2 linked regions of the Rhinolophus ferrumequinum genome follow. The protein of the gene in region 2 purifies or fractionates together with the protein of the main gene of each other region. This does not show direct contact. Links are inferred from orthologs where the notes say so. Each region holds a gene or a part of one and is shown on either strand. Other genes may lie near its edges.

The links.
Region 1: the proteins of EYA2 (region 2) and ACAD9 purify together in Homo sapiens (affinity purification with mass spectrometry; 3 studies listed by BioGRID and IntAct, with this or other methods). This does not show direct contact. The link is inferred for Rhinolophus ferrumequinum from reciprocal best matches to the Homo sapiens genes EYA2 and ACAD9.

What each region holds. Positions count from the first base shown.
Region 1 is NC_046285.1:213,345-229,263, reverse strand, and holds the start of ACAD9 (complex I assembly factor ACAD9, mitochondrial), read left to right. Parts: upstream 1-9,234; coding exon 9,235-9,381; intron 9,382-13,563; coding exon 13,564-13,657; intron 13,658-15,919. UniProt on the Homo sapiens protein: As part of the MCIA complex, primarily participates in the assembly of the mitochondrial complex I and therefore plays a role in oxidative phosphorylation.
Region 2 is NC_046306.1:11,461,259-11,476,985, forward strand, and holds the start of EYA2 (eyes absent homolog 2), read right to left. Parts: upstream 8,131-15,727; 5' UTR 8,114-8,130; coding exon 8,112-8,113; intron 376-8,111; coding exon 257-375; intron 1-256. UniProt on the Homo sapiens protein: Functions both as protein phosphatase and as transcriptional coactivator for SIX1, and probably also for SIX2, SIX4 and SIX5.

The sequences.
Region 1 (15,919 bases), on a different chromosome or scaffold from region 2:
AAACGTTTTAAAGCCGAAGTACCACTGCATCAACTTTGGGTCTAAAGTTTATTTTTTACCCCTTAGTCTTCCTTCTCTAGTTAACTTCTCCAGTTAAAACCCATTTTGCGCATCTGGAATTCAAGCCAAACTCATTATTCTGAAAACCTGTATATAGATAATGTATTTTATAGCTAGCTATAATGTATATTTACAACTAGTTTTTATTTCCTTAAAAAAAAATTTGCTAGCCACAGAAAAAGTGTTGATGACTAAATACTGCTTTATCTCACAAGCTGGATTCTGTAGACGAAAAAGGGGCCACACACTAAATTTGACAATCTCAGAGGAGGCCTGCATGATGGGCCCTACAAACTCAGAGACTGAAATTAACCACCTAGGATGGTATGAACATAAAAATTCCTAACTGAAAGGGAATAATGGCTGGTAGTCACGTCCTAGGCCTGTAGCTTCCTTGACAAAGGTCAATGTTTACCTTAAGTGAGCCTGTGTATTATCCTTTTTCATCTAAGTTAACATACCCTTGGAATGTCAGAGTAATCCATTTTTTTCTGAACTTTTCAGAGCACAACCGGCCACACCAGACCAGGAGGCACAGAACCCTTCATGGTTATCTTGTTCCCTGAATACTACTCCTATGTGCTGTAAAACGTTAATTATTAACTACCCTGTACCCACCAATGTAAAAGAAGTCTGTGTCTGTTTTACTTTTTATCCAGTCCCAGAGATTTCCCTGCTTTGCTTTCTCCCACCCCCCTAATCTACCACCAATGGATTTCATGCAACCCTCCTTACATTTCTTCCTTTGATTCTAATGTATAAAATAAGCTGCAAAACTGCCATTCTCCTGAGCAATTTCTTAATCCATTGAGATTTTGCTTCCTGGCAATTGTTGTCAGTTTGGCTCAAATAAACTAATTAAACTTCTCTACAGGTTTGGACATTTCTTACATTGACAATTCACGTATTAGGTGCTTAATCATTCACATTTGGCAGACACTGACTAGAAACCAGACTTCGTTCTAGAGAATATTTTTTAGTAAACAGCACCCAAATGGCCTTTTCATTGTGACCTGGAGTCCAAATCCAGCTTTCTGACACCTTTGGCTGGATATCCTGAAAACCCATTCTTGTATGCCTTTTGCAGTTAAAAGCAAAAATGGGAGCTTTTTGTAGGGCAGTGCTGGGCACTTACAGTTTATGTGCTATAATCTGGCCAGCAAGAGAATACTGGATCTTCATGGGAAAAGTTGGGGGGAGGGGACCTATTAATTACAATATATTGCAGGAAAAAAATAACAAAATTAGTTCCTTAGGTGAGTTTCACTTTATCTCTCTTATAAATTATAGCTGGGGAAAAAACGAATTCAAGTACATATACCAAGTTCTGTTAAGTGATTAAGAGGAGTAATTTCCTCTAAAAGGGAAAAGACACAGCAATTGTCAATAATTTTTGACTAAATGCCGAATCTTCAGGGTCCTGTAATCTGACTTTACAACATTCAGGAACTGAGAGTTTTTCATGCACTTCAAAGGAGAAATGATAAATGAACGAATGTGGAAAAGAGTCTATGCATAGGAAATAATGTTTTGCTAGATTTCTTTTAAAGGAGGGGGGTAATGTGAGGGAACTGTAAACTCTAACTCATGCTGAGTGAGCATGGAAAGCTTTTTGAAATGCAGGGACTCATTTTGGGTGGCCTGAACTGACTCTACCTTCTGTTGTCAGTGGGTGAACCATTAATGAATTTTCCTGCATAGCACTTCATTATCTGGTTTGCAGTCCACAGTCACTGGCTTGGAGGATTACAAAAAAATACTGTTATTAGTTTCAAAGAAATGTTAGCGCTGAGAGGCAAACGCTGTTGCTAGAGCCTCAGGGCTTCCTGGGAAGAGGCTGACTGCTGAGTTTCCTGATAATGAATGACCTAGTCGGATCGCTGTGTCAGGATTGCGTATGCAGGCATCAGGGTGATGAATTGTGCTTCCCAAAATATATTTCCAGGTCATTATTTGTTCTAATTGAAAAGGAATATTCCACAGTAAGTCTCTTTAGCTTGGACTGGCATTGCATCATCTTTATATGCCGTTTCCCATGAGTTAAGGTTTTCCCCAGCTGACGCTGCTAGCTGGACATCTTGAAATGATTTCAGGCTCTCCTGGCTTTTGTGCAAACAGATAAAGTAGACCCCAGTGCATTCTGTGATTACCTGGCTCTTACATTACAGCAGTTATTTGCCTTGAGAATTCTGGAGGTTTCAACACAGCATTTGCATTATCTTATGTGCTGTTCTTAGTGGAAAAGTGGGTCTACATGCTCTAGAACTTAGATCTTAGGCTATTTTGGCTTTTGAAACATAAGGGAAAAATAAAATCTAGGGTATCTTGTTTTTTGTCATCGTTAATATTTCAGCTCTCCCAACGTTTATAGACTATCATCATTAGAACCACGTTTAAACTAAAAGCCCATTTTCTTAACATACATTAAACATTTATTTCAACATTGCATTTTTTTCCCATATTTCAGAGCCAGCAAAGATAAAATGATCCCAATTATGGAATTGGGTACCTAAACTGTGAGCACTGATGGTAAACACATATGACACACCCCCAAGAACTCCCAGAAATATTTGGGGGAAGTTTTCAAGAGCCTGAGGTTGTTTTTTTTTTTAATTGGGTGTGATTGGCATATAACATTATGTCAGTTTCGGGTGTATAGCATGATGATTTGATATTTGTATATATTGCAAAATGATAACCCGGATAAGTCTAGTTACCATCCATCACCACACATAATTACAAATTCTTTTTCTTGTGATGAGAACTCTTAAGATCCACTCTTTTAGCAACTTTCAAATAAGCAATACAGGATTGTTTACGGTCACCATCATACTGTACATCACATGCCCAGGACTGTTCTCTCATTTGTAAAACAGTGAATTTACAGGCCTCTTTGGAGTATTAAATGAGATAATACATATAAAGAGCCTAGTACAGAAAGCACTCATTAAATGTTAGCTGCTGTTATCACTCACTTTGAGAGCACCATCTCTATTGACCGACATAGCAGTGTGCTTGCCCGGTGCTCGATTAATCTGCCTGATGGATTTGACTGCCCCTCGTAATGATGACTCTTTGTATTTGTAGTGTAACTTACATAATTTTTTCTTTGAAACTTGAACGGTAGTATTAGTTTAGGTAATATTTAACAAATAATGTTTATTAGTTAATACTGATTGCTTTAGCAATTAAACCCCCAAACATCAGTGGCTTAATACAATATGTATCTTGCTCATGTAACAGTTTAATGTGGGTGTCCCTATTCTTTGTTTGGTTTTCATCCATATGGTTGATTAAAAGACGTAGGCTCTTTCCATTTTGTACTGCCAGCCCCTAGAGTACAGCATCCTCTGCTTCCAGCTGGTGGAAGAGGAAGCATCAAAGAATTACCACTCATTTCTTAAAAACTGAACAGAAGTCACATATTCCATCACATTATGCTGGTGAGAACATTATTCTGGATGTGGGGAGGGAGGAGGCTTTCACTGACAAATGCTCACTAAGGAAGGGACACACTTTTTTGGTTACTAGTTGCCTCTGCTACAACACTTATTCTAAGTCATAGATAATACAGTTGAGGCTCAGAGGGGAGGGCACTTGCCTAGAATCACATAGCTGACAAGTGGCAACATTGGGACTAGATCTCTCCTCATGACTCTTTTTCATGGTCTCTTTCCTACATTTTGCTCTGCCTCCTACCTATGCAACAGGCTGTGTAGTCTAAGGGGATTTCCAAAATTTTTAATGGAGCCAAGAGTCTTATCATTTGGAAGACTGCTGATTCCAAACCATAGTAGGAGCACTGGGTATATGAGTTCTAAGACATAGCCTCAGTTCTGTGGTCACAATTAGGCCCTATTTATTTTTGAAAACACTGTGTGCCAAGAATTACAACACCTTCTGTATTAGTCTGCTGGGCAGCTGTAACAAGGAACCACAAATTGGATGGCTTAAACAACAACTTATTTCCTGAGTTCTTTTTTTTTTTTCCTTTGACAGAAAAATGTACATTTATATTTCCTTAGTTCTTGAGGCTAGAAGTCCAAGATCAAAGTATTGGCAGGGTTGGTTCTTCTGAGAAACTGTTCCAGACCTAGCTTCTTGTGGTTTCTTGGCCTTGATGTTCCTTGGCTTATAGAAGTATTATCTCAACTCCGTCTTCATCCTCGCATGGCATGCTCCCCGTGTGCACATCTGTGTACAAATTTCCCCTTCTGATAAGGGCATCAGTCATATTGGATTAGGGGTCCGCACTACTCCCATATAACCTCATCCTAACTTAGTTACATCTGCAAAGGGATGCAATAGGAAATTCTTTCTAAATAGTCACTTTCTGAGGTACTGGGGGTTAAGACTTCTCCAAATGAATTTTGGGGGTTATACTTCAACCCATAACACTTGTCAACCCCAAGAAAGAAGGTTATCTACCAAGAAGGTCTTCTGGTGGCTATCTGGGCTCAAATTTAAAAGCAGAGCCTAGCAACCATTTCTAAACAGGGGCCTCTCACACAAACTGCACTTCAGGTGAGTAGAGCCTCCAGTCAAACTGGAGTGGACATTCAGTATGAGCAAGAAATAAACCTTTGTTTTTTAAGCTACTGAGTGATCAGGTGGCTTGTTACACATGTTGACCCTGAGAAGGAAAATATTACCAAGAAAGGCTCCTGGTGGCTAACTGGGCTCAAAAATTAAAACAAAACAGAGCATAGCAGCTGTTGCTAAACAGGCCTCTCATGCAAACCGCACTTCAGGGAGAAGCCGGCACTGAACTGCCTGCCTGCACTGTGGTCCTGCCATCTGAGCCAGCCCTTGTAAAGGAGTTCCTGGAAGTGTGTTTCAACGAACAGGACTGAGGCTTTTCCTGTCAAATCGGAGCTGTGCAGCTGTGTCACCATCAGCATCTTCACCAACCAATCAGAGTGGCTCCACTCTGACCAATCAGGACAGTGCTGTTTGGACCAATAAAACTGTGAGGATTTGGACTCCTCATTTACATAACGTCAGAACAATCAGGGACCAGTTGCAGGGACTTGTCTCTATATCTCAGCTCCCCTCTAGCTCGGGGAGCACATTTTCCCTTTCCACTGAAGACTGTTTCCCTAGCTGGAGTTGAAACACCAAAGACATCTTGCCACACCAGAGTGGAGTGGACTGAAGCAGATGGAGTGGACCAGAGCATGGCAGAGCCTACCTGAGTGGACTGGACTGGAGTGTCTTGACTGAGGGCCACCTCTGTGGAACAGAATGTGCTGTTCCAAAGCCATTCTGTATCATAATTGAGCTGTAACACTATTGAGCTGTCGCATACCTGTGCTGTTCTCACAGCTGTGCTGTATCACAATTGAGCTATTTGCACTGAATAGTTTTCCTTCTTCACTATACCCCAAATTGGGGATTCCTGTTGGCATTGAATTGGCATCAATGACCATCAGTTGACACACTCCATTACCTTTGCAGCTTTCAATAAGCTAGTGACTTCCAGGTTTCCATAATAAATAATGTACCCCAAATGGGAACAAGTATAAAGCAAAAAGGAAGGAATAGTAGACAGCATAATGTAGTGTATGAGACAAAGGATTCTTTGAGGGACACCTCTGTACACACAGATCTTTGGTCTTTAGACAGTAAGGTGTCAGCCAACTTCTCTCTCAGCAGGAAATAAACTAGTGATAAAATGTGTACAACTTATTTGTGTGCCCTTGTATTAGGATATTGACTGCTTTGAGGCAGAAACCTTAGCTAGACTCATATTTCACATAACTGATTATTGATCTTATAGCCATGGAACAGGAGACAACTCCCCTCACCCTTTCTTTTCTCCAATTCTGTAAGTCAATTTCTCCACTGGCTTCCGATTTTGCAGCTTTAACACTGGGGTATCTAGGAGTAGTTTTCTACTCAGACAATATGCCTGTAACTCAAAACCAAACATCCTGGTATGCTATTATGGCCAAGGAAGAGTGTCAGATTATTTGCTGGTAAGTTATGTATGGGAATCAGCTGCATTGATGTGACTCATAGAAAGGACATTCAGAGATACAGGCATACCTTGGAGATATTGTGGGTTTGGTTCCACACCACCGCAATAAAGCGGATATTGCAATAAGTGAGTCACACAATTTTTTTGGTTTCCCAGTGCGTATAAAGTTATGGTTACACTATACTGTAGTCTATTAAACATGCAATAACATGTCTAAGAAAATAATGTACATATCTTAATGAAAAATAATGTCCAACTGAGAACTTTGATGGAATTTTGAAGTTTTATCTTTTTGGATGTCAGACTTACTAATTTAATTAAGCAGATATTGTTTAAAGAGGAAAAAAACACAAAAAATAAAGATACTTTATTGCTCAAAAAAGGCTAACCATTATCTAAGTCTTCTGTGAGTTTAATCTTTTTACTGGTCAACAGGCGTGCCTCAATGTTGATGGCTGCTGACTGATATGTGTGGCTGTGGCAATCTCTAAAAAGAAGACAACAATGTGGTGCCCTTTCTACCATATCTGCAGTTACTTCCTCTACCGACGTCTTGAACCCTTAAAAGCCATTCACGAGGGTCGGAATCAACTTCTTCCAAACTCCTGTTAATGTTGATAGTTGACGTCTTCCTGTGAAATCACAAATGTTTTTAATGGCATCTAGCATGGTGAATTCCTTCCAGGTTTTTAATTTACAGATCCATCAGAGGAATCACCATCTATGGCATCAATAGCCTTATGAAACGCAATTCTTAAATAAGACCGTAGCAAATATAATCATAAAGAAAAGTCTGAAATATTACAAGAATTACCAAAATTTGACACAGAGACATGAAGTGAGAAAATGCTGTTGGAAAAATGGCACCGATTGACTTGTTTGGTGCACGGTTGTCACAAACCTTTAATGTACAAAAAGCAGTATCTGTGAAATGCAATAAAGCACAATAAAACAAGGTATGCCTGTACTCAGTGAGGATGTTTTAAACTCTGAAGATGGGAAATTCTATGTCTATAGTAAACTACTTAAAAATGGCATCCTATTTCTCAGAGGCTTATACTCAGGTATAAGATACAAACCTCAGAGTGTAGGCATTTTTCATTTTTACAGTACTAAAGGAAAAACATTGCTCATTTAATGTGGTAGATGCTTTCATATGGATTATTTTACTAAATCCTCACAAAAATCCTGTGAGATAAATGGTATTATACTCATTTTTATAGATAAGGAAACTAAACTTAGAAACCGGCATAGAACTCTATAACTCTTTTCCCACTGTACACACTACTTGAGTACTTACAAATTATGCCTTAATTTATTTATAATTTTTGTTTTGGAAACTGTGTGCCACTGAATTTCTCACTTGCTTAACTTAAGGTTGATCTCTGTACACTAAACAGGAACTGACACATTATCAGATTACTTGATTGATTTGACATTTGTTTTGGCAAAAATGTACAGCAGCTCAAGATTGAAACCCAGGTTTTGCAATATCACTTTTCTTTGTTTCATCCCCCTCCCCAGGTTAATTCACAAAGGCAGCAGTTTCCAAATGCCTTCTTGCAAAGCTATATTTTGAAATAGACAAATATTGATCACTGATGAAGAAACCAGGCGATAAACCTTTGCAAGTCAAAGAAAAGACAAAATAAAAAACAAATTGCAGAAGATGTTTGCAAATACACTGCAACCAATAAAGTTTTTGAGCTCTTCCCCGATGTTCTATCAAGTTTTTACTCAAACAAGTAAACATTTTATTGGGCCAGGCATAGCACCATTGAGATGAATGAGATTCCATTCAACTCCTATTCTCCAGGAGTTGCCATAATGAATGAAGGCAAAAAGGATTTCCCAATACTGTGGTAAATGCTATAGTCAGGGTACAAGTACAATGAGAGGTAAGCAGAGAGAAAAATCTTCCTGGAGGAGGCTGACTTAAGACCACTAGTGAGTGCACACTTGGCCTGGTTCATCGCTGGGCTGTGCGGTGTCTCAGAGATGCCAGGTCCTCCTCCCTGGGCCCTAATGACTTTCTGGACCTATTCCACCAATTATTGTTCCCACCCCTTCTCGGTTCCCTCTGAAGCTTCTCTTCCTTTGCCTGCCCTTTTAAATTGGTGTTTCCTAGGTACAGTTGTAACTCACAGGATTTTATCCAAACCTCTCTCCTGCAGAACATCACTTTTCTTTTCCTACACACACACACACACACACACACACACACACACACAGTGGTACCTCAGTTTTCCAACGCAATCCGTTCCGGAAGACCATTCGAGTTCTGAAACATTTGAAAACCGAGGCGCAGTTTCCCCATAGAAAGTAATGCAAAATGGATTAATCTGTTCCAGACCTTTAAAATCAACACCTAAAACTGTAAATTGAGCATGAATTTTACTATCTAATGATACCACAGATCCATAAAATTTACGGCGTTCGTAAACCAAAATGTTCGTCAATGGAGACGTTCAAAAACCGAGGTGCCACTGGGGTGACAATGATATGCACACATATGTTAAGAGGTGTTATCTATGCTGAAGTATAGTTTGCTATAATCAGAAGTCTCTGGACACTGAAGATAACCAGGTAACCACCTTGAGCACCTCTTGTAATTGCAGAAGTCAAATGTGACTTATATTCATCTTTTGTTATCGTTATGTATTATTACAATTTAGTTTTTTCCCTTTCTTAAAATGTGTATACATTTTTTATTGTACACATATAATCGAAACAAAACGACTTCTCACGAATCCACCATGCACTTTAAAACCGAATCCACCATCCACTTTAAAACCGTAACATTACCGGTACTGTGGGTTCCCTTCCACAGGTATATCGTGAAATTTCCCCATTCCCTTGCTTTTCTTTAGTTTTACAACGGCCTTGTTGCTCCACTTGGCAAGAGGGAGGTAAATGGAGGCAGCCAGGCCGCCGCTCACGCGCTGGTGCCCACAAAAATAACAACGCCCTCCTCGCCACCACGGCCACCAGCCAGGACAGCAAAACCATCAAGACGGCAGCGGCCCCGCCCCCCTGATCTGCCGGCGGCCCTGGGGGGCGGGGCGGGAGGCTGCTCAGGCGCGTGGGCGGGCGGCGCGGGCCGGTGACGTCATCCGGCAGCGCGGGCCCGGTGCACGTGACTGCGGCGCGGAGGAGAAGGTGGTGGCGGTGGGAGTGTGGGGATTCCCGGCAGCATGAGTTGTTGCGGGCTCTTGCGAAGGGCTGTGGCATCGCGTTCCTGCAGCGCTCTGGTGGCCTCTGCCGTGAGCCCGCGCCGGCTGAGCACCAGTCGGACGAGCCGAGCTTTCGCCAAGGAGCTCTTCCTGGGCAAAATCGAGAAGGTAACGCCAAGTCTGGGCCCACTCGGGCTCTCTGCCGCCTGCTTTTTGCCCCGATCAGGAAACACTGGGATCAAGCTTTTCCCGTGTCCGCACACCTGAGGGGCAAGGCGTGCTAACACTCCAGGTTCCTGAGTCCCATTAGATCATGTGCATTTTTCCAGGGAAAGGGAAGAGTCTTTCCAGGGCGGGGGGCCCCGAGAACTCATGGTTTTGACAAGTGTTCCATTTTGTTCTTGTCCAGTCAGTTTGGGAAACACTAGGCCAGGCGATGCAACCCTCAACTCAGCGGTCTGGCCCCCGAATGTGTGGGGCTTCCTCTCTGAATCCTAAACACAGCTCGGACCGTGCCACTCTGTCAGCTTCCAGCAGACCCGAGGCGTCCACAGCTGAGTCCGAGCACCTCACTCTGCCATTCAGGTTCCTCTGCAGTCTGGCTCCAAGGTGCCCTCACCCCATCCCTTCCACGGTGGCACCACCCAGTAGTAACCCAGATCTTACGCAATAGTAATAACAGCTTGGTTATTAAGCATTCAACGTCCTCTTATAGTAGGAAGACTTGGATTTGACCTCGGTTCTGTGACTGAGCCTCAGTTCTTTTAGCCTTAGAAAAGGAGCTAGTGATGTATTCTGTCTCACAGATGTGTTGTAAAGCCCCAGTGAAATATATAGGGTGTGGAAATGCTTTTTAGCCTGTAAGGTACTGTGCAGATGCAGAAGTCAGCAGAATAGGTAGTAAATGCTGGCTTCAACACTTACTAGTGTATGTGCCTAGTACTTACCCCCTCCTAAAGGTGCTTTGTAAACCAAAGGAAAAAACTTGCATAAAGTGCTTTGAGCTTGGCTGAAATGTTGGCTGATAGTATATCATTTAAGGACTTATTCCCTGGTTTTCCTTTGGAACATTCCTCTAAGGTTGCCAAGCATTACAGATGCAGAAGCAGAGACTCAGACTAACAGTGGTTTGCTCTGGTAGGAAGTATACAAACTCTGTCTTTAAGGTTTAGGAAACCATTTTCCCCCAGCCTGAGGCTGTGGTGCTCTGTCCTGGGATCTCATGCCCGCCTCAGCACAGTGAAGAAAGAAGACAAGTCATTCATGCTTCTCTTTTTCCAAACTTTTGGCACTCCCTCCCCCATTGTCACTCTGAGCTGTCAGCTTTGCTTCCTATTTCACTGAGAAAATACATGCAGTCAGATGACAACATCCACCATAACACTTAGCCGCTCCTTCCTATGCTCTGTGCCGTGTGGGCTGCATTCTCTTATTGTAGATGAACTGTCTACTTAAAGAAAAGGCCAAGCGCGTCACTGTACCTCATGTCTTCTCACCTACTCAGGGCTTTGACCCAGTAATTCTGTCCTTTCTCATCTACATCATCAGTTGTTCCTTCTCTGCTGCATCTTGAACTCACACCATTCAGGCTTTTGTCCTGAACAATCCACTTATGCTCATGAAAGTCAGTAGTGACCTTTGTGTCATCACATGTAGAGATCTGTTCTCTGTCCTCATCTTACTTGACCCATCATTGGCGTCTAACACAGTTTATCACTCTGGCTTCTAAGAAACTATTCTCTCCTAGTTTTTCCATCTGCTTTACTGGCTGATCCTTTTAACTTTTTCACTTTTTCTTTCTTGGCTCCTTGACCTCTAAACATTGGCCAACATTTTCAACTAGCCCAGTTGGAGCTGGAGTTTTTTAGGGCTCAGTCTGTAGACTTCTACAACCCCACATTGGATGATCTAATTTAGTATTGTGGCTTTAAATACCATCAATATGCGGATGTCTCAAATTTATTTCTCCAGCTCAGATTTCTCCCCTGAACTCCAGACTCTTTTTATATCTACCTTTCTAACAAAAGCTTCACTTAGGTGTGAATAAGCATTTCAAATTTAGCATATCCAAAACTGAGTTCCTGGTCTCCCTACCCAACCCCATTCCTTCTACCAGCCTTCTTAATCATAAATGGTTAATTTACTGTTCAACTTGTTCAGGCCAAATACCTGGAGTTACTTTTGATACCTCTTAGTCTCATAATCCACAGCTAATCTGACAGCACGTCTTGTTTTCTCTGCCTTACATTTAGAATCAGATTCTTATATTTAGAATCTGACTGCTTTTAAGCACCTGCACCACTATTGCCCTGGTTTAGGTCAGCATCATCTCTCACAGCATTATTGGGGTTTGAGCAGGAACGTGGCATCTGAGATGCCTAGAATTTCAGAACAGAAAGAGACCTTCAAGATCATCTAGACCAGTAGTTGTCAAACTGCCTTCAGGTGGACCCTCGTTATTCATGGGAGTGTCCCTGGGGCTACTGCTGGGACCAGTGGGAAGCCGAGTAGGAGACATTTGGGTGATCTTTCTCCCCCTCTGCAGTCTCAACCAGAGCAGCTTGACTTTTATTTGTTCTACGTATTTGGTGTCTGCACTAGATTTAACTAAAAAATATGTTTTACTACTTTAAAAAATTTGGAAGCGCAGATGGGAATTAAACCCAGCACCCATGAGGCACCCCGTTTAGTTTATGAACACTGATAGAAGAGATTTGTTCTTCCATGCATGGAGATCTCGCTCCCTGCAGCAGTTAGCCTTTGGTTGTGCTTGAGGGCCATCTAGTTCCCAGGCTGTTCTCTTTTCTTTTCTGGAGTGCTCACTGGTACCAGGATAATCTTATAATCGTCCTCTAACATAGCTCATTGCACAAGGCCTGAGTGAACCCATGGGCTTGTGAAAGCCAGAGCAGTGGGTTGAGCATCTGTATTTCAGCTAAGGAGCTGGCTGTGTTCTGAGAGGCTTCAGAGTGATTAGTCTTAGCATATTTTCCTCCTAGACAGTCTAGGACAGGGTCAGAAATGGCATGGAGGCAGGAATTCCTTTTAAGTCAGCTATCACTTTTGGATAGGGAACCACCTATAAGCCTTTAGTCATGGGGCCTGAGAGGAGAAAACAGACTTGGGAGTATGTTACTAGAGTGGACAGTCTTTGGTGACTGATTAGAAGTTCAAGGGCTGGAGAAGGAAGATTGAGGACTCCTTTGCTTTGAACACCTTGTCTGGAGACATTTGATGAGAGGCGCCATTAGGAAAGACAGGGTCTGGCAACTCATGATCTGGGACACCATTTTTCAGCAGCTGTGAGTCCAAATCCAAATACTCATGTCATGCTGGCAGGGCTGTCTGGAGCCCCAAAACCTTGAGGGACTAAGGATACAGTGGGATGATTTTAGGCAATATACAGTGATGGCCCAGTGGGGAATCCTGGGCCAGTCAGAAATATTGGCCACTCATTGGATTGAGACAGAGATTTGAAGCTAATTTGTTTTCCATGGTGTGAAGTGGAGGTAAGAGCAAGTATTTGTCACAAATACAGTTACTTTATGTTCCAGGACGTATTACCTCTTTTGAGCCTCACAGCTACCTTCTGAGGTATCTGTAACAGAAGGGAAACTGACACACAAGTCACACATCTAAGAAGTGGCAGCGTCAGGGCTGAATTCAGGTTGATCTGGGTCAACAGCTGGGCCTCCTCCAGTGACCTTCTTACTTCGTATGTTTAGCACAAGTAGCAGATGTCATCTAGCAGGGAGGACAGAGGCTGGAATATGCAGCTGGCTGGGAACCTGGCAAGATGTCAGACCTTGTAAACACAGTATGTTCCCGTCAGCTGCAGCATCTTTGAATTTACAAAATAACAAATGTAAAACTTTACATTTTAGTAATGAGCTTTCACACCAGTTATCTTCCATGATTCTGACAACAACCTTGAGTAAATATTACCTGCATGTTACTGGTGAGAAAATGGAGATGTGGAGAGATAAAGAGATTTGGCCACACAATAAGTAAGCTGCAAATCAAGAAACAGAGCTCAGGGCTTTTAAATGTTTAGTCCAAGTCTCTTTGTTTCATGGGAAAATCATCATGATTTATTGATAAGGAAAGCTGATCAAAGTCGGGAATAAACCTGCTTGAGATACAGGGAGGGAGGCTGTATCTAGGTGGTGGAGTCTAACATACAATTCTTATATCTTAAATACCTTCTGGAAGTTGCTTTCTAATTCCTTCAATGAGGAATGCCCTGCCTACCAGATATGGACTCTAAGAAATCTGTCTCCCTTTTCACTGATATCACCACTATAGCAAGTTCCTAAAAATTAATTTTTATTAAGTGTTTATCATTTTTAGAAAGAAGTTTTCCCATTTCCAGAAGTTAGCCAAGATGAACTTAATGAAATCAATCAATTTGTGGGACCCGTAGAAAAATTCTTTACTGAAGAGGGTATGTATGATTTTCTTTATCATTACCATATCCATTATAAGGGCAATGCTTTGATATTTACGTTAGAAGCAGTAGACACAGGGGAAGCTCTCTTGAGTGTCATTAAACATGGGGAAATAGTATCTATTGATAATACGAGGTGTGATCACGAAATATGGTGAATGTTTAAATGTAAAAAATTTATTGCAGTAAAAGACACATTGCCATTAATGCCATTCAAAATACTCCCCCTCACTTTGAACACACTTATCCCATTGTTCTTGCCACTTTCTGAAGCAGTTCTGGAAGTCCTCTTTCGTGAGTGTCTTTAGTTGTGCTGTCGTGGCTGCCTTGATGTCTTGAATCGATTCAAATTTTTACCTTTCATGGCAATTTTGATTTTGGAGACGAGTCAGAAGTCGCACGGTGCCAGATCTGGTGAATAAGGTGGATGAGGACACATTGTAATGTTTTATTTGACAGAAATTGCTGTACCAGAAGTGATGTATGACATGGAGCCTTTTCATTGTGATCACAAAATATGGGGCCAAGTGCCATCCAGTGGAAAGGCAGGGATCTTCAATATGGGAAGTGGCGCCTTGAACCTTACTTAGTAACAGTGTGTGACAAGTTTTAACTTGTTCGGTGCAGTCAGTCGGGTGTAAGCTAAGGTTGAGAGAAGGTGTGTTTTAAAGTGTTCCGTAAATCATGGATCATGAACAACGCATTAACATGAAATGGGCAAACGGTTTCATCCTCCATCATGACAATGTTCTGTGTCACACATCGCTTCTGGTGAAGTGTCTTTCAAATATTTTATGCATTAGAGATATTTGGTTTTGTTATTGAGTTGTAAGAAGTCTTTTTATATTCTAGATACAAGATGTTTATAAAAATTTTTCTCATAGTCACTTGTTTCACTTTTTCATTTTATTAAGTGTCTTTTAAAGAGCAAAAGTTTTAAATGTTAAGTAATTTTTTTCTTTCATAGTTCATAATTTTTGTATATGAGAAATCTGCTAAATCAAGGTTGTGATGATTTTTTGTCTATATTTTCTCTTAGATTTATATTTTTAACTCTAAATTTTTAAATTTATAATCTATTCCCAGTTAATTTTGTTTATGATGTGAGGTTAAGTTTGAGGATAATTTCTTTGCATGTAACTATCCAATTGTTCCACAACACTTATGTAAAAATTGTCCACTTCCTATTTAATTCACTTGGTACCTTTGCCAGAAATCAATTGACCAGAGGATTCTGGGAAGATAGCAGAATAAAGCGCACCAGAAATCTGTCTTCCCACCTAGACAGCAATTGCACTGGCAGAATCTGTCTGATGTAACTGTTTTGGAGATCTGGAATCTTTTCGAGGTTTCCAACGCCCAGGAGAAGGCTTGGACAGTAAATTGTGCTTTTATTTTGATAGATTTAAGCTCTGAGCACACTAGCAGCTACCCATTCCTTTCCTCAGCCCCAAAGCAGGCAGCTGTGAATTTATTTTTGGAGCAGCTTGCACATAGCTTGTGGGAGCCATATTGGACGAAAGGACTCTGCCCATAAAATATTAGGGACCTGTGTTTTGATTGCTGCTTCTGATAACAGAGGTGCAAAGAGGCAGAGGCTTTGCACCTACTCTGCATTGTCCCAAGCCCATCCCCCTCTGGCTGAAATGACTTCCAGGGAATTTAAAAGACTGCCCCCCCAGCCATCTTCATTTTTCTTTTCCCTGTTTTGTGAACCAGATTGAAGACAAGGACATTCAAAAGCAACCACATATATGGGGGGAATTAGAAAGTCGTCATGCATGCTCAGGGAAAGGTGCAGGCTCAGAGAAGGCCAGGGAATTTAAATTTATACCTTTGGCTGATCCTCGGCACAGACTTAGCCCACAACAGTTAAAAACAGCAACAACAAAAAGCAACAACACCAAAATCACAAAACAACAAAAACAAAACCAATATGTGGGACTACATGAAACCAAATGCTTCTGCACAGCAGAGAAACAATTGACAAAATGAAATGGCAACTTACAGAATGGGAGAAAATATTTGCAAACCATATATCAGATAAGGGGTTAATATCCAAAACATACAGAGAACTCATGCAACTCAATAACAACAACAACAACAACAACAGCAAATGATTAAAATATAGAGGAACTAAATAGACATTTTTCCAAAGAAGATATCCAAACGGCTAACGGGAACAATGAAAAGATGCTCAACATCATGAATCATCAAGGAAATGCAAATTAAAACCAAAGTGAGATATTACCTCACTCT
Region 2 (15,727 bases):
TTTCTGGAACTGGAGACCAAGACAGGAAGTTCAGAACACAAACAAACATACTTTCACCTCGAATGACTAGACAAAATTGTCAGCCGCATATGCCAAAGTTTTGGTCCAGAGGCAACAATCTCAACGGCAGGAGGAGACATTGTCATAACGACAGTACTTTCCAAAGGAGGCAGCATGCCTAAGGCTGTCTGTCAGTCCCTTGCTATGTTCCGCGGGACCACCACTGGTCCTGCAAAACGCACGCCAGGAGGCCTACCTTCTATGTCACTCAGAGTCCAGACATCAGTGCCAGCACGGTTAAGCTTCAGTTTACCAGGACAAGCGCTGTTTACCGTAAAGCTGGGTGAGATCACTAGTTCTAGCATTTCCTTGTACCTGAAAGAAGACAAAGGGAAATGTAATTTATTCATTAATTATGCATGCTTACTAATGATTCCTATTTCTTTCCCTAAGAGTATAAATATTAAAGCTGATTACCTAAACCCAGTTGTCTTATAAATTCTACATAATAAAAATTCACTAAACTTTTCATCAAAGGGAAATGAGGAATTAAAATGAAGTACTCAGTCCCCTCTGGAGAATACGCCCACTTGATTAAAACTTTCCCCTCCTTCCTCCTGTATTTTGCCATTAGAAAAATTATATTTTGGTCTCTTTTAAATGTCATCTGAATGAGCTGGAGCGAGCCAGGGAGACTTCTCAGGAGAGGAAGGGGCTCACAGGTAGAGAGGGAGTGTTTGAATTTAGATTCTCACAAGCCAGAGGTACGGGGAGAAGCTGGACCGCCGTTAAGAGTGAAAAACGGACATGGTGTTACATGGCATTACTTACACAGATGGAGAAAGGCTCAAAAGGCGTCATTGATATTTAAGCCCCTGTGGGCAGCAAAACTCACAGCCCATCACTGTGGTCCCTCCCAAGAAAGAAAACACTGGCTGCTGAATTAGGATTTTGATAAAATGTTATGGAAGGGGGAGGGAAAAGTAGGGACAAGTCTCCTGGGTCAGTCTCATTTTTTATTGAAGACTTTTCCACCTCTTGTACTAGGTCAGTACTTATTCCTCCGAAATTCCTACCCGCTGTGGTTAGGAAACGAAGTTTCTGGTTATTGCGCACAATATCACACGTGGCGGTGTGCAAAGGACTGAACGACAACCAGCCATGTTTGACACTGATTCAAGTTGCCCTCAGAGAGGGCTGGCATCAGTATCCAAGTGTGTTGCCTGGCATCAGTATCCAAGGCCAGGATCTGTTACCATTGTGTTAATAAAACACAATGTATCGATTGATGGCGACACGGTTATAAACGCAGATTACACCAGGAAAAGGTTGTGGATTCAAACTCCACTGTCACTACACACTACCGTGAACAAGTTACCAGACGGCTCTAAGTCAAAAGTGTTCCCATCTGGACAATGAGGATTATCAAAGTACCTCCCTGACAACGTCACGGTGAAGGTGAAAAGAGATGATACGTGTAAAGAAAGGACTTAGAAGGCAGCGAACTAAACGCCCATTCATTACCACAGGAATGAATAAACGGAGGCAGTATGCTCACGTAATGGAATACAATACAGCCGTGAAAAAGATGGAGCTGGAGTTGTACACAGCATGATGGACAGATTGCCAAACGAAGTACGGAGCAAAGAGGCAGAAGGGTACCCAAAGTCTGATACCATTTCTGCGAAGTGAAAAATACACAAATCAATATTATATACTGTTTAGGAATATAGACACATGCAATAAAAAGATCATAGTATGTGTAGGAATGACACACACTGATTTCAGGAGAATGGCTAACTCTGGGAAGAGTAAGGGGACGCAGTTTGGGCAATGGTACCCGGGGGGCTTCAACTGTGGAACATTTCAGTTCAGGGGTTGACAGAAACTGTGGCCCATCCCAATCCAGCCTGTTTTTGTGTGCCCCGTGAGCTCAGAATGGCTTTCGCATTTTTAAATGGCTGGGGAAAGAATCAAAATAAGGTTAACATTTCATGACATGTGAAAATTACGTAAAATTCAAATTTCAGTGTCCACAAGTAATGTTTTCTTGGCATACAGTCCTGCTCATTGGTTTACTCTGTTGTCCATGGCTACTTTTACACTGCAACCTCTGAATTAGGGTGCTAGATACCCACAAAGCTGAAAATACTTACTATCTGGCAGAAAATGTTTGCCAATCCCAGTTTTAGTTTGCAAGCAGGATGGTGGGCATATCACTATGGTATGGTTACTATACATTCTTGTGTACCTGAAATACTTAATAATTTTTTAAAAAGAAAGAAATCACTTATCCCAGGATTTACTCATAGGAAGTACTTCATATATACTTTTAAATCTGATGAGAGAATTCCACACAAATCAGCTTCTACTGTGTATATCTTTACAGGAGCTGATACATATTGGGTTCCTAAATGTTCCCAGGTATACATGCCTGCTGTGTGCCTGTTTTCTTGTCCCCCAAATGCCACAGGTACTCCAGGAGAGAGGTCTCGGCGTCTCCTTCTTTTAACACATCAACGCATATATACTGTATGGAACTCAGCAAATAGACCTTGAACCTGTTGTCTGGTGGTGGGTGCCAGAAGTTTGCATTTTATCCAAACTCATTCCCTTCATCCTTTTGGGTATGTACAAATAATTCAAGGTTTAAAAAATAAAGAATGATGCCAAAAATAGCACTGGTCTCTATATATACAGATGCCATGCATATGGGTATCTGTTAGCAGCCAATTGTAAGCTAAATGACCAAATCCAGTAAAAAACAAAATGAATTATCTTCCCCCCTCTTCAGGGTTTTAAAATACTTGAAGTCATGGCCAATATTTTAAAATGAAGCAATTTCACATTTAAAAAAATCTAGATTTTTTAGCTTCTCTTGAAAATGGAAGATTACTGTCACATTTCTGCATGACAACAATTAGCAGGAGCTGGCAGTGACGGATCAAGTCAGTCAAGGCAGATGGGTTCAGTTTGCCTCAGTCCCCACCCCTCCCTAGTATATCACATTTGGTTGTCTTTTTCCATTTATATTCCCTCCTGACCCTATAGGCCTTTGCATTTGAGAGCCATGGCATACATATCATAAGAAAAAGCCTGATGAGGAAAGAAACAGCAATGTGACACTGAGTCACATAGCTTATTTATTTTCCTGAGTGTTGCTGTCATTCTCAAGAGCTCTTAGCACATCCAAACAGCATTTGTTGACATTACAGCAGATCAGGAATGTGTTTGTGAGTTTTAACTCTGGGACAGAGGATTGCTGCGACCACTTTTGGTGTTTTCACATCTTGCCTAAGGTCCTGGGAGGCCGAGCAACATGGAAATCATCTACACTTCCCTCACAGCACCTGACACAGAAGACCTGTCCACTCTGTCATCTGATTAACACCTGGTGGAGGATGGGAGGAAGGACGGAATGGAGGAAGAGAGGGACTGGGGAGTGAGTGAGGGAGGGAGGGAGGGAGGAAATCTGGAACTGAGTGATCAGCTTCTTTCAACAAGATTTTTAAAAATTTCTCATTATCTACCCCATTCTAAGAAGACAGTGACTCTAATGTATTAAATCTGTCTCCTTATAAATGATGCCATGTTGTTTTATGTGTGACGTGTTTTCATTAATACGAATAGTGTCGTACGTGAGATCGCATTGTGTTTATTACTTTTTTTCACGTTGCACTATTTTTAAAATGGATACATATTGCTGGATGGTTATCCAGCTTGTGGCTACAATTCCATGCTGTGCACCAACCACTCCATCGCATTTATGCATTGCTTTAGTGATGAGGACCTAAGAAGCCTTCATCTCTCTGCCACTAGAAACAGTGCTGCAATAAACATCTTAATCTAAATAAAACATACATTGATGTGTATCTACATATGTGTCTATAGATACACACATATATTCTTAAAATGAATATATATATATTTGAGGAGAATTTCTGTGGCATGTGAACTGGACTTGACCAAGTAGTAACAGACTGTTCTCCATAATTCCAGTGCTAATATAGATTGCCACCAGAAGTGCATAAGCATTCCCGTTTCATAAATTCTTGCTAACACTTGGCATTGTCCAGCTTTCTAATTTTTGTCCAACCAACGGGTAGAAAATGGTATCTCATATTTGTTTTCATTTGTACTTCTATGATTACTAGTGAGTTTGAGCATATATTCACATAATTATGGGGCATATAAGTTTCTGGGAACTGTCTATTCATATTTATTATCCTTGCCCATTTTTCTACTGGATTTTCTTTTCTTGTTGATTTGCTGGAGTGCCTTGTAGCGTTTAGGTATTGGCTCACTGCTGGCTTTAGAGGCTGTAAATTTCTTTTCTTAATCTTTCATTTGTCTGTTTTTTTTTAATTTTTATTTTATGGTGTCGTGTGCCATAAAAAATTATTACATATTTGTCCAATAATTCTTCTTTTTCTAAATGTATTTTTTTCCCCCTAACCCTGGAATATTAAGGTTTACCTACATTTTAAGCTATTGATTTGGAATTTTACCTTTCATATTTAAGTCTTCAATTCATCTGAAGTCTTCCATTTAATATGGCTTAAAGTTGCACTTTTCTCCAATATAGGAGAAAATTAAAATAAGCCATTTCCCCTAATGTGTATTAAACTCTCTAACTGAATTTACCTCCCAGCTATGATGAGATAGTTTGTATTTTTGGTTCAATCTCACTATCACAATAAAAAATAAAAGCTACAAAACATTGTTTTAAGGCATCGGTGGGCAACCAAGGCAGGGATTGAGGGCTCAAGATCCCAGAGAGATGAGAAATGGACAGAGTTAACTCTGACCTCTACCACTTTTCCTTGCAAGACGTTTGCCAATTTATAAGCACAGAGGGGAAAAGTAACAGATTAGAGTTTTCCAGTCTCATTGGGCTGGGGAGACAAAAATTGGAGTTCAGGGCTACTAAAGCAGCTAGAGCCCAAGCAAAGATCCTAGAGATATGAGACCACAGAGAAGTGAGCCTAATATTGTTGACAGTCATTACCTTTGAGGCATTTGCTGATACCTAAGCTGGGTGGAGTGAGAGGCAGAGAAGTCAAGCAGAAAGGGGTAGCTAAGAAGGCAGGAAATGAAAGAGAGCTTTTGGTAATCTCCCAGTACTAGGGAGGAAAATACTGGAGTTCATGGCCCTTCAGGATGAGAGGCCTTGGTAAACACACCAGGCTTTTAACTGAGATCCCTGAAGGGTGACTCCCTTGGAATAAGGGCAAACCAAATAGATCCTGCCTTGAGTCATGTTAATCCCTTATTGGATAAAAATGATTTGCCTCTATTATTACCACCTGCCAGAAGAAAAGTAACTTTTCTTTTGGGGGGAGATGTCATATTCCAGAGTCCCCATAATTTTTTATACACAATGCTTAGCATTTAATTAAAAAAAGAGAATTACTGTGCATGCAAGGAGACAAGACCAAATGATCAAAAACCAAGACAAAAAAAACCAAACCCAAATAAGATTCAGATATTGGGATTATCAAACATGGACTCCCCAACAACTTTGATAATATGATCAAGAAAATAGATTTAAGGTATAGAATGATTCTACTAGAGAACCTGAATCTTTAAAAAAAAATCTCATGGAAATTCTAAAACTGAAAATACAATAACTGAAATTCAGAACTCAATACAGCCGTTGAACCACAGATTGGACATAGCAGAAGAAAAGATTAATGAACTGGAAGATAAGTCAGTAGACAAATCTCAAAAGGAAGGTTGGAAACAAGGTTTTTAAAAAAGCATAAACCACATGGGACATGGAGAAAAGGTCTAACATACATGTTATAGGGGCCACACAAGGAGAGGAGAGAGAAAACAAGTCAGAAACAATATTTAATGGGAAACTGACAGATAAATTTCCAAGACTGATGAAAGATATCAAGCCAAAGGAATAAAAAAGTTCTGTGGTTTGCAAGCAGGATAAATACAGAGAAAAACACTCCTGGGAGTATATATATATACACACACACACACACATACATATACATATATATATACACACATACACACATACATATATATATATATGTCATAGTCAAACTGCACATGTGTAAGAACATATTAATCTTAAAAGCAGCCCAGAGGGGAAATGAAACACAAGATATCTTTACAGAAGGAGTAATAAGACTTCTCAACAGAAATGATGAATATCAGAAAACAATGGAATTTCATCTGCCAATGTAGAATTTTAGGCCAGCAAAAAAAAAAAAAAATCCTTTAAAAATGATGACAGAATGAAACAAACCAAAATTAGGATTATTTGCCACCAGTAGACGTAAATTACAAAAGAATGTTCTAGAAGATTGAAAACTCAGCAAGGAATGGAGAGCAACATAAAAGGGTAAATACATGCATGGTAAGGGGATAAATGAAGTAAACATGTTCTAAGACCATTTTATGTTCCTGGAAGTGGTAAAAGTACTAATTTATAGTAAACTTTAAGATTTATCAAGGATGCATACTGTAATCTTAAGGTAACTACTTAAATAATAATAATAAATGGCTACTAACAAGCTAATAGAGGAGAATATGGAATAATAAAAATACTTGATTAATCCAAAAGAAAGCAAGAAAGAAGAAAAAAGAAACTTAGAAGAGATGGAACAAACAGAAAAAGATAAAATGACAGATTTAAATGCAAATTGATCAATAATTACATTAAATGTAAACAGAATAAATACTCCCATTAAAAGACAAAGATTATAAGACTAGACTAAAAAAACTAAACACTTGATTATTACAAGAGATCCTTTTAAAATATAAAGACATACAAAGACTCAAAGCTAAATATTGGGAAAAATCCACAAGAAGCAAATATTAAATAAAAGAAAGCAGAAATAATTTCAAATAGACTTGAAAATAAAAACCATTATGGAGATTTAGAGGAACATAAAGCAATGATGAAAGAATCAACCTGCGAAGATATAACAATTAGTTTGTCCTTCCCCAATTAATTTGCATGGCAAATAAATACTGCTAACAAAGAAGAAGCAATAGAAATGTTAGTCCTCACGAATTAAGCAGGCCCTTAATTTAAGAACCAGACAATTTGTTCTTTCCGGCTGCCAGCTATCGCTTATGGGCCACTGCTATCTTGCAGATGCAAACCAAAAGTATAGCAATATGAACAGAGTGAGAAAAACGCTTCCAAAAAAAGTCTAATTATAGCTCTCATTTCCTAAGCACCTATTACATGCCAGGCAATTTTCCTGATCACTTTTATATTATCTCCTTTAATTCTCTCAACCACCCTGGGAGATATAATTATCCTCCCTCTATTTCCCAACCGGAATATTAAACACAGATTTAGGTCTGAGCAAAGCATAGGCACCAAGAAAATGTGAATCATTCGTATTTAGTGAACATATCCTATTCAGCCATGAAGATCTAAAAAGAAGCTTTTAAAATTTCAGCACTTCAGGGTGAGTTTTGTGTTTGTATGTTATGGGTCAGATTGTTGTATTACTGAATTACATGGGGAAGTAATGGAGGGAGGCTGATCTCTTTGGTGTTTTGAGGTCTTTGAAGGTCTTAACCTGGACCTGATTATAGTGCTTGCTTTACAGATAATAGAAATAAAAATAGCTAACACTTAAAGAGCATTTACTCTAGGGCCAAGAGCTCTTTGCATACATCAAATCAGTTTATTTAATCCTATGAAGTGGGTAGAGATGAGGAGACTGAGGTTCACAGAGTGACCTGGTAGTTAGTGCTGGAGCCAGGATTCCCAGCCAGGTGGTCTGGCTCCAGGGTCTGAGGTCTTAACCACAGCTTGCAAGTCAAACTGGGTCAGAATCTGAACCCAGGGTCTATCCAGCTCCCACTCAGTCAGAGCACTGGCTCTGTCATCTGCTACAGGGGCTCAAATCCCAGCTACGTGTCTTACCAGCTGTATGACCTTGGGCAAGTTATATAACTTCTCCGACCCTCATCCATAAGGATGGAGAAATAATATAGTGCCCTTCCTGGCAGGTTATCCTGCGGATTAAGTCTGAGAAGGTGTGAGTGAGTGGGTGCTCAACAAAGGGTTTTTAATTGTCAACAAATACTGACATTATTTGCATTCACACAGACAAAAGCTTAAAACATACATTCCAGGTAGACACTGGGAATTGTCATGAGGATCGTCGTCGGGGCAACCACTGGTTCCTATTGTGGCCTGACGGGCAGAGTTGAATTCTCTTGCAATTTGGGGAGAGTCTTCCTTCCTGTTCTCCCTTTTCTCCCCTCGTCACAATTACCTGAAATAGGAGACCAGCTTATCCTCTTTGCAGGGGAGGGAAGAGAGAAATCAGACAGTCTAATAGAGTCTGGGGGGAGGAGAAAGACTTAGCTTCTCTTTCCTGAAGGAAGCAGAGGCATGGGATTCATTTAGGACACAATTTTCCCCCCTGTGTTGCCCTGTTGCAAAACCCCTGATACCCCCACTGCTTCAGAACCAGGCCAAGAGGAGAGGGAAGAAAGAGGCATTCGGAAGCCCCGCCCTCTGGCCTTCTCCTTGGTCGGCTGCTGCCAGCGGCTTGCACCATTTGTTACCCTTGTCACCACCCCTGTCCCGGGGGACTGAGGAGCATTGGGGGAGCGTGAGGCTGCAGAGGAGCCGGAGAGATGACAGCTGGAAGGTGGGGGGTGGGGGCAACTTCAAAGGCTGGAAAGGATCAAAAGCAGATGGAGGGTCCCAGGCGGGTGGGAGGCTCACCTTTCCACACCCCCCTGAGCTCCCTGGCTACCTTGGCTGAGAACAGTGGCCCTGCCTGCTGGATGGAGGGGACAGATGGCCAGTCAGCCAACCGGACTCTAAAGAAGGCCAACTCCCAGCATCTTTCCAGGGCTTAGAAACCCAAACCTGCTGACAGCAATCACAGGCTTCTGGATAGACAGCAGCTGTGGCCCAAACCTGGACGTTTCTGGCTGCCTCCACCACCCTCATTTGATTTCAGTTCTAAATACATCTGCTAAGTGCAAACGAGCTCTGCCCGGGCTCCCCCGTCTCAGGGGTGCCGTTGCTTACAGCAAAAGCCCAGGACTGTCCCCCTCCTCCCTCTTCTTCAGCTCTCGTATCCAATCCATCACGAGGTGTCATCAAGTTCACCTCCTCAAACATCCATGGAACCAACTGTTCTCCATTTCCATGGCCATTGCCCAGGGCCAAGCCACCACCCTCTCTGTCCTGGACAACCACTTCCGCCTGCGTCTAGGTCTCCCTGGGGCCATGCTGTCCTCCCTCTGGTTTGTTCTCTGCACAGTGGCCTGAGGGACTTCGGACAACATAAACAAACCTGCCCCTCTCACTTCATCCTTACTCATGACCTCCTCCACTTGCTTTCTGTTATTCTTAGAATGAAGCAAAGACTTCTGAACACAGCCTTGATCTGGCTTCCCTTCACTCAACGTCTCATTCTAGCACACTGGCCTTCCTGCTCTTCCTGCACGCTCCCTCTTGTCGTGAGGTCCTTGCACATGCTGTTCCCTCTGCCTGGGACACCATTCCCTCCTGCTCACCCTTCAGAGGTCTCAGCTCTAGCATGATTTCCCAGGCCCTTCCTGAGTAGGGCTCCTTCCCCTTCAGCAGCTTCCACAGGGCCATAACTCACCCTTTTGTGCACCAGTCACTATAACAATTTTTATAGATGTTTGTATGTTATTTAATATCCACTTGTCTTCCTGACCAGATTGTAAGCTCCCTGATGGCAGGGATTTTGTCTGTTTTATCCACCATTACATTCTCAAAATCTGCAGGGCCTGACCCCTGAGAGCTGTTTAATAAATATTTGTGGTATAATGAATGAATGTGCTGTATGAATAAATGCAATATTTACCGAGTGCCCGCTAAGTGTGGGTCACTGCCATTGTCACCACCCAGACGGGGCACTCGTTTACATTCCTGCCTGGCCCCTCCAGGCACGAGTTTGAGACCCCCTGGTTTACTATTCTTCCCAGCGCTAGCACTGTATGTATGTAGGTCATCGGCCTACATACATCCAAGTACATGGATGTCGGATGTCACTGTCCCCAGGCCATCCCAGAAAGGAGAAATGGTCCAAAAGCTCCTGTGCAAATGACACAATGTGTTTGTTAATTATGGTTATGACACTATTAAGCTCTGCCTGGCTGTCATGGCTTTAGCAGTCCTGCTTTTTTCCGCCCTCCCTGTAGGTTTATTTTTTTTCCAGCTTTATTGAGATATAGTGGACATATTGTATAAGTTTAAGATGTACAATGAGATGATTTGATACATGTATATACAGCAAAATGATGGCCTTGCTTTGAGCTAAGAAAGCAGGAGGAGAAACGAGAAATGTCTACAGCCACAGCATAGAGGAGAAATCATGGCTTGAGAAGGAGCGTGGCGGGGGCAGTGGGTGCCTGGCATTTTGGCCCGTTAGGTCTTGTGGCAACAGCATCCTTTCTTTCTTTGGGGGAACTGCCTCTCAGTCCATGTGGCTTGAGTGAGGCTGACCCTACTAGTAACAGGCCCTGAGCCTGGCAATTAACATCTCCCATCGCTCGGTCTACAGTGATTGGCTCAGGGGTGGTGGTCAGGAGTCAATGGGGACCAATGAGAGGCCCAGGATGAACTGCTGGAGAAGAGCTGCTCTGTCCCACTGGAACTGAACCTTGGAAGGCAGTGCAGGGCCACAGATTATGCTTGAGTAGCACAGTCTTAGAAGACTGTGACCCGCATTCCGATACATGCGCATCACAACCTTGGAGTTCAGTGTGAAAGTACGAGCAGGAATAAACTATAGGCGCAGCCAGTGAAATTCAGTGACTGCTGTCACATGGCCGACTTTACCATCCATTGGCAAGGACCCCACAGGCTACACTGGTGTGGTCACAAGCCCCTCCTCCCGTCCACATCTCCATTCCCCAACCCCACCTCCCTTTCAATGGGGAAGGTGTCACTTAATAGAAATTATGGGATCAGGGCTGGGACACACAGGTGACGAACAAGGTGCTTTCAGCCTCTTCTCCAAAAGCGAAGAAGAAGGCAGATAAAGTAGGGACACAGTCGACACCAAATTCATTCACTGCTTCCTTCACTGAGTCAGGCTGCCAATCATTTAGAATCGCTGACTATGCATATCGAATACCAAAAAAGAAAGGCTGTTCTTGCTCACTAATATATGTCAATTTTTTTTTTTTTAAGGTCATGGACTGTTCCAGGCACTGGGGATACAGTGTCGAATCGGACAGACAAGTTTCCTGCTCTCATGAAGCTGACATTTGAGAGTGGGATTTGCTGTTCACCACCAGGCGGCATTCACCAGTGGGTGACCCCAGATAGCTGGGCTATAGAGCCGCACAGATTCTCCTAGAACTGAGAAAATAACTACATTACCTTTTCTTTCTTAACATATAATTTTAACCACCCAGGTAATGCCTCAAAATGTTTGTAAATAAATTTTTAAATTTTAGATAAAACTGCAGTTATCTTTGGCTATATCTCCCACCAGCTGTACCCACAATGACTAACAGGATAAATAGTTCTGAAGACCTTTTTTCTAGTCATAAACACACAGAAACATCCACCTACATCGTGAAAGACACACAGTATTTTATAAATGTGCTATATGAATGTATTTTTATAAATGTCCTGGATCTGTACATCCTGTTCTAGGATTTTTTTCACTCTAATAATACAGTATCTTGATGTTCTTTCCATGTCATGACACAGAGATCTAGCTTTTTCTTTTTCACTGCTTGCATAGGCTTCCCAGGTATGTCTATACCATACTTCTTTCGGCTAGTCCCCAGGTTTCCCAAGTTTTGTCATTAAGTGCCACACTGCCTGGGACAGGCTTTTTTGGGTACACATGCATATAGGTCTCTAGGAATGATACCCCAAAGGAAAACTGCTCGGTCTACCTTTAAAATTGTAAAGGACATTTGCAAATTGCCTCTCAGGGTGGCTGATCCCATTTATAGTCCCAATGGCGGTGTCCCGTCCTCACCCCCTGTACGGCCTCTCTTCCCTGATCTGAAAGCTTTTACCCCAAACTCTCTTAGGAAGACATAAACAATGATTTTAATATGTCTCCTGGGCAGTCTACTCCTTAGCACCATCGTTGTGCCAAGAGGAATATGTTCTAGGGAGTCATGTCAGAAAGGACCACCAGCCCGGGGCCGAGAATCTTAGCCCCAGACCAAACCGTCTCACTCAGGGTTGATACATTCTCATTTGTGGGAACGTGGTGCAGAATAAAAATGGTCGACGGGAGGGTTTTATTATGCTTCCCTCATTCCTGATAGCATGTAAAACAAGGGCCCTTTGTTTTCGCTAATCCAGTTTTGCTGTCCACGGGGTTTTTTTTAAAAAAAACTTTTTATTTTGGTTTCATTATAGATTCTTAAGAAGTTATAAAAAAAATAGTACAGAGAGGTCTTGGGTACCCTTCACTCAATTTACCCCCAGTGATTACATCTTACATAACTACAGTACAATATTGAAACCAAGAAATGGACACTGGTGCCGTGTGTGTGTGTGTGTGTGTGTGTGTGTGTGTGTGTGTGTGAGTGTGTAACTCAGTGTCATTTTATCACACATGTAGCAACCACCACTACCATCGAGACAGAGAACTACTCCATCACCACAAAGATCTCCCTTGTGCTGTCTCCTCACAGACACACCAACCTCGTTCCCCCAAACAGCCCGAACCCCTGGCAATCACTGCTCTGTGCTCCAGCTCTAAGATGGCATTTTGAAAACATTATATAAATGGAATCATACAGTATATGACCTCTTGAGGTTGGCTTTTTTTCTTTTTCTTTTTCTAACATGACTCAAGTTCAGATGCCTGCATTTTACAATGTGTTTTCCAATATTCATTAGGCCCACAAGAGGTACCTTCAAAAAAGTACCCAATGTGCAGTGACCGAACAGGACAGGACCACACACGTTCTACTGATTTCAGGTTGGGTTCAACAGGGCCCTGGAGCAAAATGTAGAACTTTATAGAATATTTCTCATGCAGAGCCAACAAAACCAACAACAAAACAAACCCAACCCATAACCAATGAAATAAGGCACAAAGCAAAACACCACGACTCTGACTGAAGGGAAGGCCTGCCCCTGCGAGTGATGGCTGGAGAATGTCAAATGCCTGGAGGCCACCACAGGGAGCCCCAGGACACCCCCTCCCCCAAGAAGCAAGTGAGCAAGCAGCAGCTGGAGTGCCTCTCAGACTGCAAAGGCGTTTTGCTCTGCGTTTATGGTCCCCACCCTCAGTAGATACCCCGGCAGCATCGTTGGCAGTCACTGCCCCTCTTCCTCTTGCTCAGCCAATCACAGCCGACCGCAATGACCTGGACCCGTTGTAAACCATCTTAAACCACGGAGAGACTCATTCTGAGACTCCAGAGCAGAGCGTTTTCATTTGAATGAAGGGGAATGGATGGGAGAAAAATACTGGAGAAATGGTAAGCGAAACTGAATACTAAAAACTGGCTATTAGAATATCTTCATTCTACCCAACTCATTATTTGAGCCCCCAGGAAGCACTGACCACTACAAAACTGAAACCGATAATAGTTCACACGCGGTAAATGCTGTCTAGGATCCAAGCACTGTTTTAAGTGCTATTCATGCTTGAGCTCACTTCATCTTCCCAGTAGCCCCTATGAGATCGACAGAACTCAGACCCCATTTTACAGATGAGAAGAGTGAGGACAGGAAGTTTAAGTCGCTTGCCTAAAATCACCGATAAGTAGCAGAGATGGATTTAAAGCCAGGATGTCTGGCTCTGAATGTTCTACTCTTCTGCCATCTGCCACCGACAGCAGCAGATGTCTTAAAATTAATCTTCCCTAATGACTGATCTCCTCTAATTACATCATTACCCTGAAATCGAATGGGCCATGCAGTGATTCATGAGTTTTTAAATGTTTTTCTTCTTGTTTTGAGGTTCATGCAATTTCATACAGTGACTTTTTTTCTCCCCCCACCCCCTTTTCTTTGTAAGGTGGCTACATGATGAGTAGGGGCTAGAAGTTTTTTTAAAATAAAAAATCTCAAACGGATGCAAAAGCAGACAGGATAGTAAAATGAATCGCTAGGCACCTATCACTCAGATTAAACAATTTTCAAGATTTTACCTCACTTGGCTCTTCTAAGCTTTTTGTTTTGTTTCGTTTCCTCTTTGATGAAGTTTCAAGAACAAATCTGAACTTGAAGTCTCTTTATCTGCCACGCTTCATTAAAAAAATATGGACGCTTTCCACTATGACACCTAACAAAATTCACCTTACTCCCTGTGCCATCTTAAACACAGTCCGTGTTCTACACCCCCCAGTCCCCAACAGTCTCCACACGGCCATTTAGGGTTGGTTTGTAAGATTCAGGGTCTAAACAAGGTCCACCCATTACATTTGCTTATAGTGTTTTTTACATGTATTTAACCTAGAATATCCTCTCCCTCCTGTTTATACAGACAATTGACATGCTGAAAGGACTAGGTTAGCTGTCTTGCAGAATATCTCATGTTCTAGACTTTTCTGTTTACTTCCTCATAGTAGTGTTAACTTATTTCTCTTTCTATTGTATTTCCCATAAATTAGCTTTAAAATGTGAATAGGTTCAGATTAATGGCGGGCGGGGAGGCAGTAATGCTTCAGAGTTCTTCCCACTGGATCACATCAGGAGGGGCTAGCTGTCCAGGTGCCCCCCTTTTACCGATACTGATAGGGGCCAGTGGGTCTGGGGGGCTCCACTCTCCTTCCCTCCATTCTGAGGTCCCCCATAAACCTCTGATCTAATGGTTTCATCCACTAATGCTCATGGGTTGAATCAATGATTTCATTAGGGTTTAGAAATTCTTTAAAAATTTTTAAGGAGAGAAGACTATTATAAGAATATTAATACATATTCTTGCAAATTGCTGTCCCAAATCTTTCTTCACTGCATTCTCCCAAGCAGCCTGTGAGGTTGCTGCAGAGCCAGCAGGAATTTGGAACAGTGTGGGGTGAATACATATGCAGGCTAGCTCAGGTGCCTGGGTACTTGGGTCAAATCCTGGCTCTGCCATTTACCAGTGGTATGGGATCTTGCTTCACTTCTCTGCCTCAATTTTCTCATCTGTCCAATGGGGATAAAAACGGTACCCGTCTCCTAGGGTGAAATGACTACTTATATAGTTCTTAGAACAGAATAGGATACAGAGTAAACTTTTCTCCACCCTTACAAGTGAAGAAACTGAGAGGCCAACTAATTAAATAAATGTCCTCAGGTCCCACAGCTCATGACAGGCAAAGCTGGAAAAAACATCTCATTTCACTGCATCCCGTTATATCAATGGAATGTTTTTCCACATTTTGAAAATGATCACAAATGATTAGGAAAAACACCTTTTGGCCATAATGACATAAATGGCTTCATATAACACCTAGTTCAAGGCCCCCCATGATGAGGACCCTGAGCACCCCTCCAATCCATCTCCTGGAAGTTCCACCCTTACTGCCTCTCCTGCGGGGTCACTGCCCTTTTGCTATTACTCAAACCATCTCATGGTGTTGCACTTGCTGGTCCTTCCGCCACAAATCCTCTTTCCCTGACTCATTCTCTCACTCCATTTAGGTATTTTTTCAAATGTTACCTTCTCAGAACTGCCTTCCCTGATATTATCAAACCCATTCCCCCATGTCTCCAACCACCACTCCCCCACTTTCCATCCCTGACCCTACGGTATTTGACTTTGCAAGTCTGTCACTA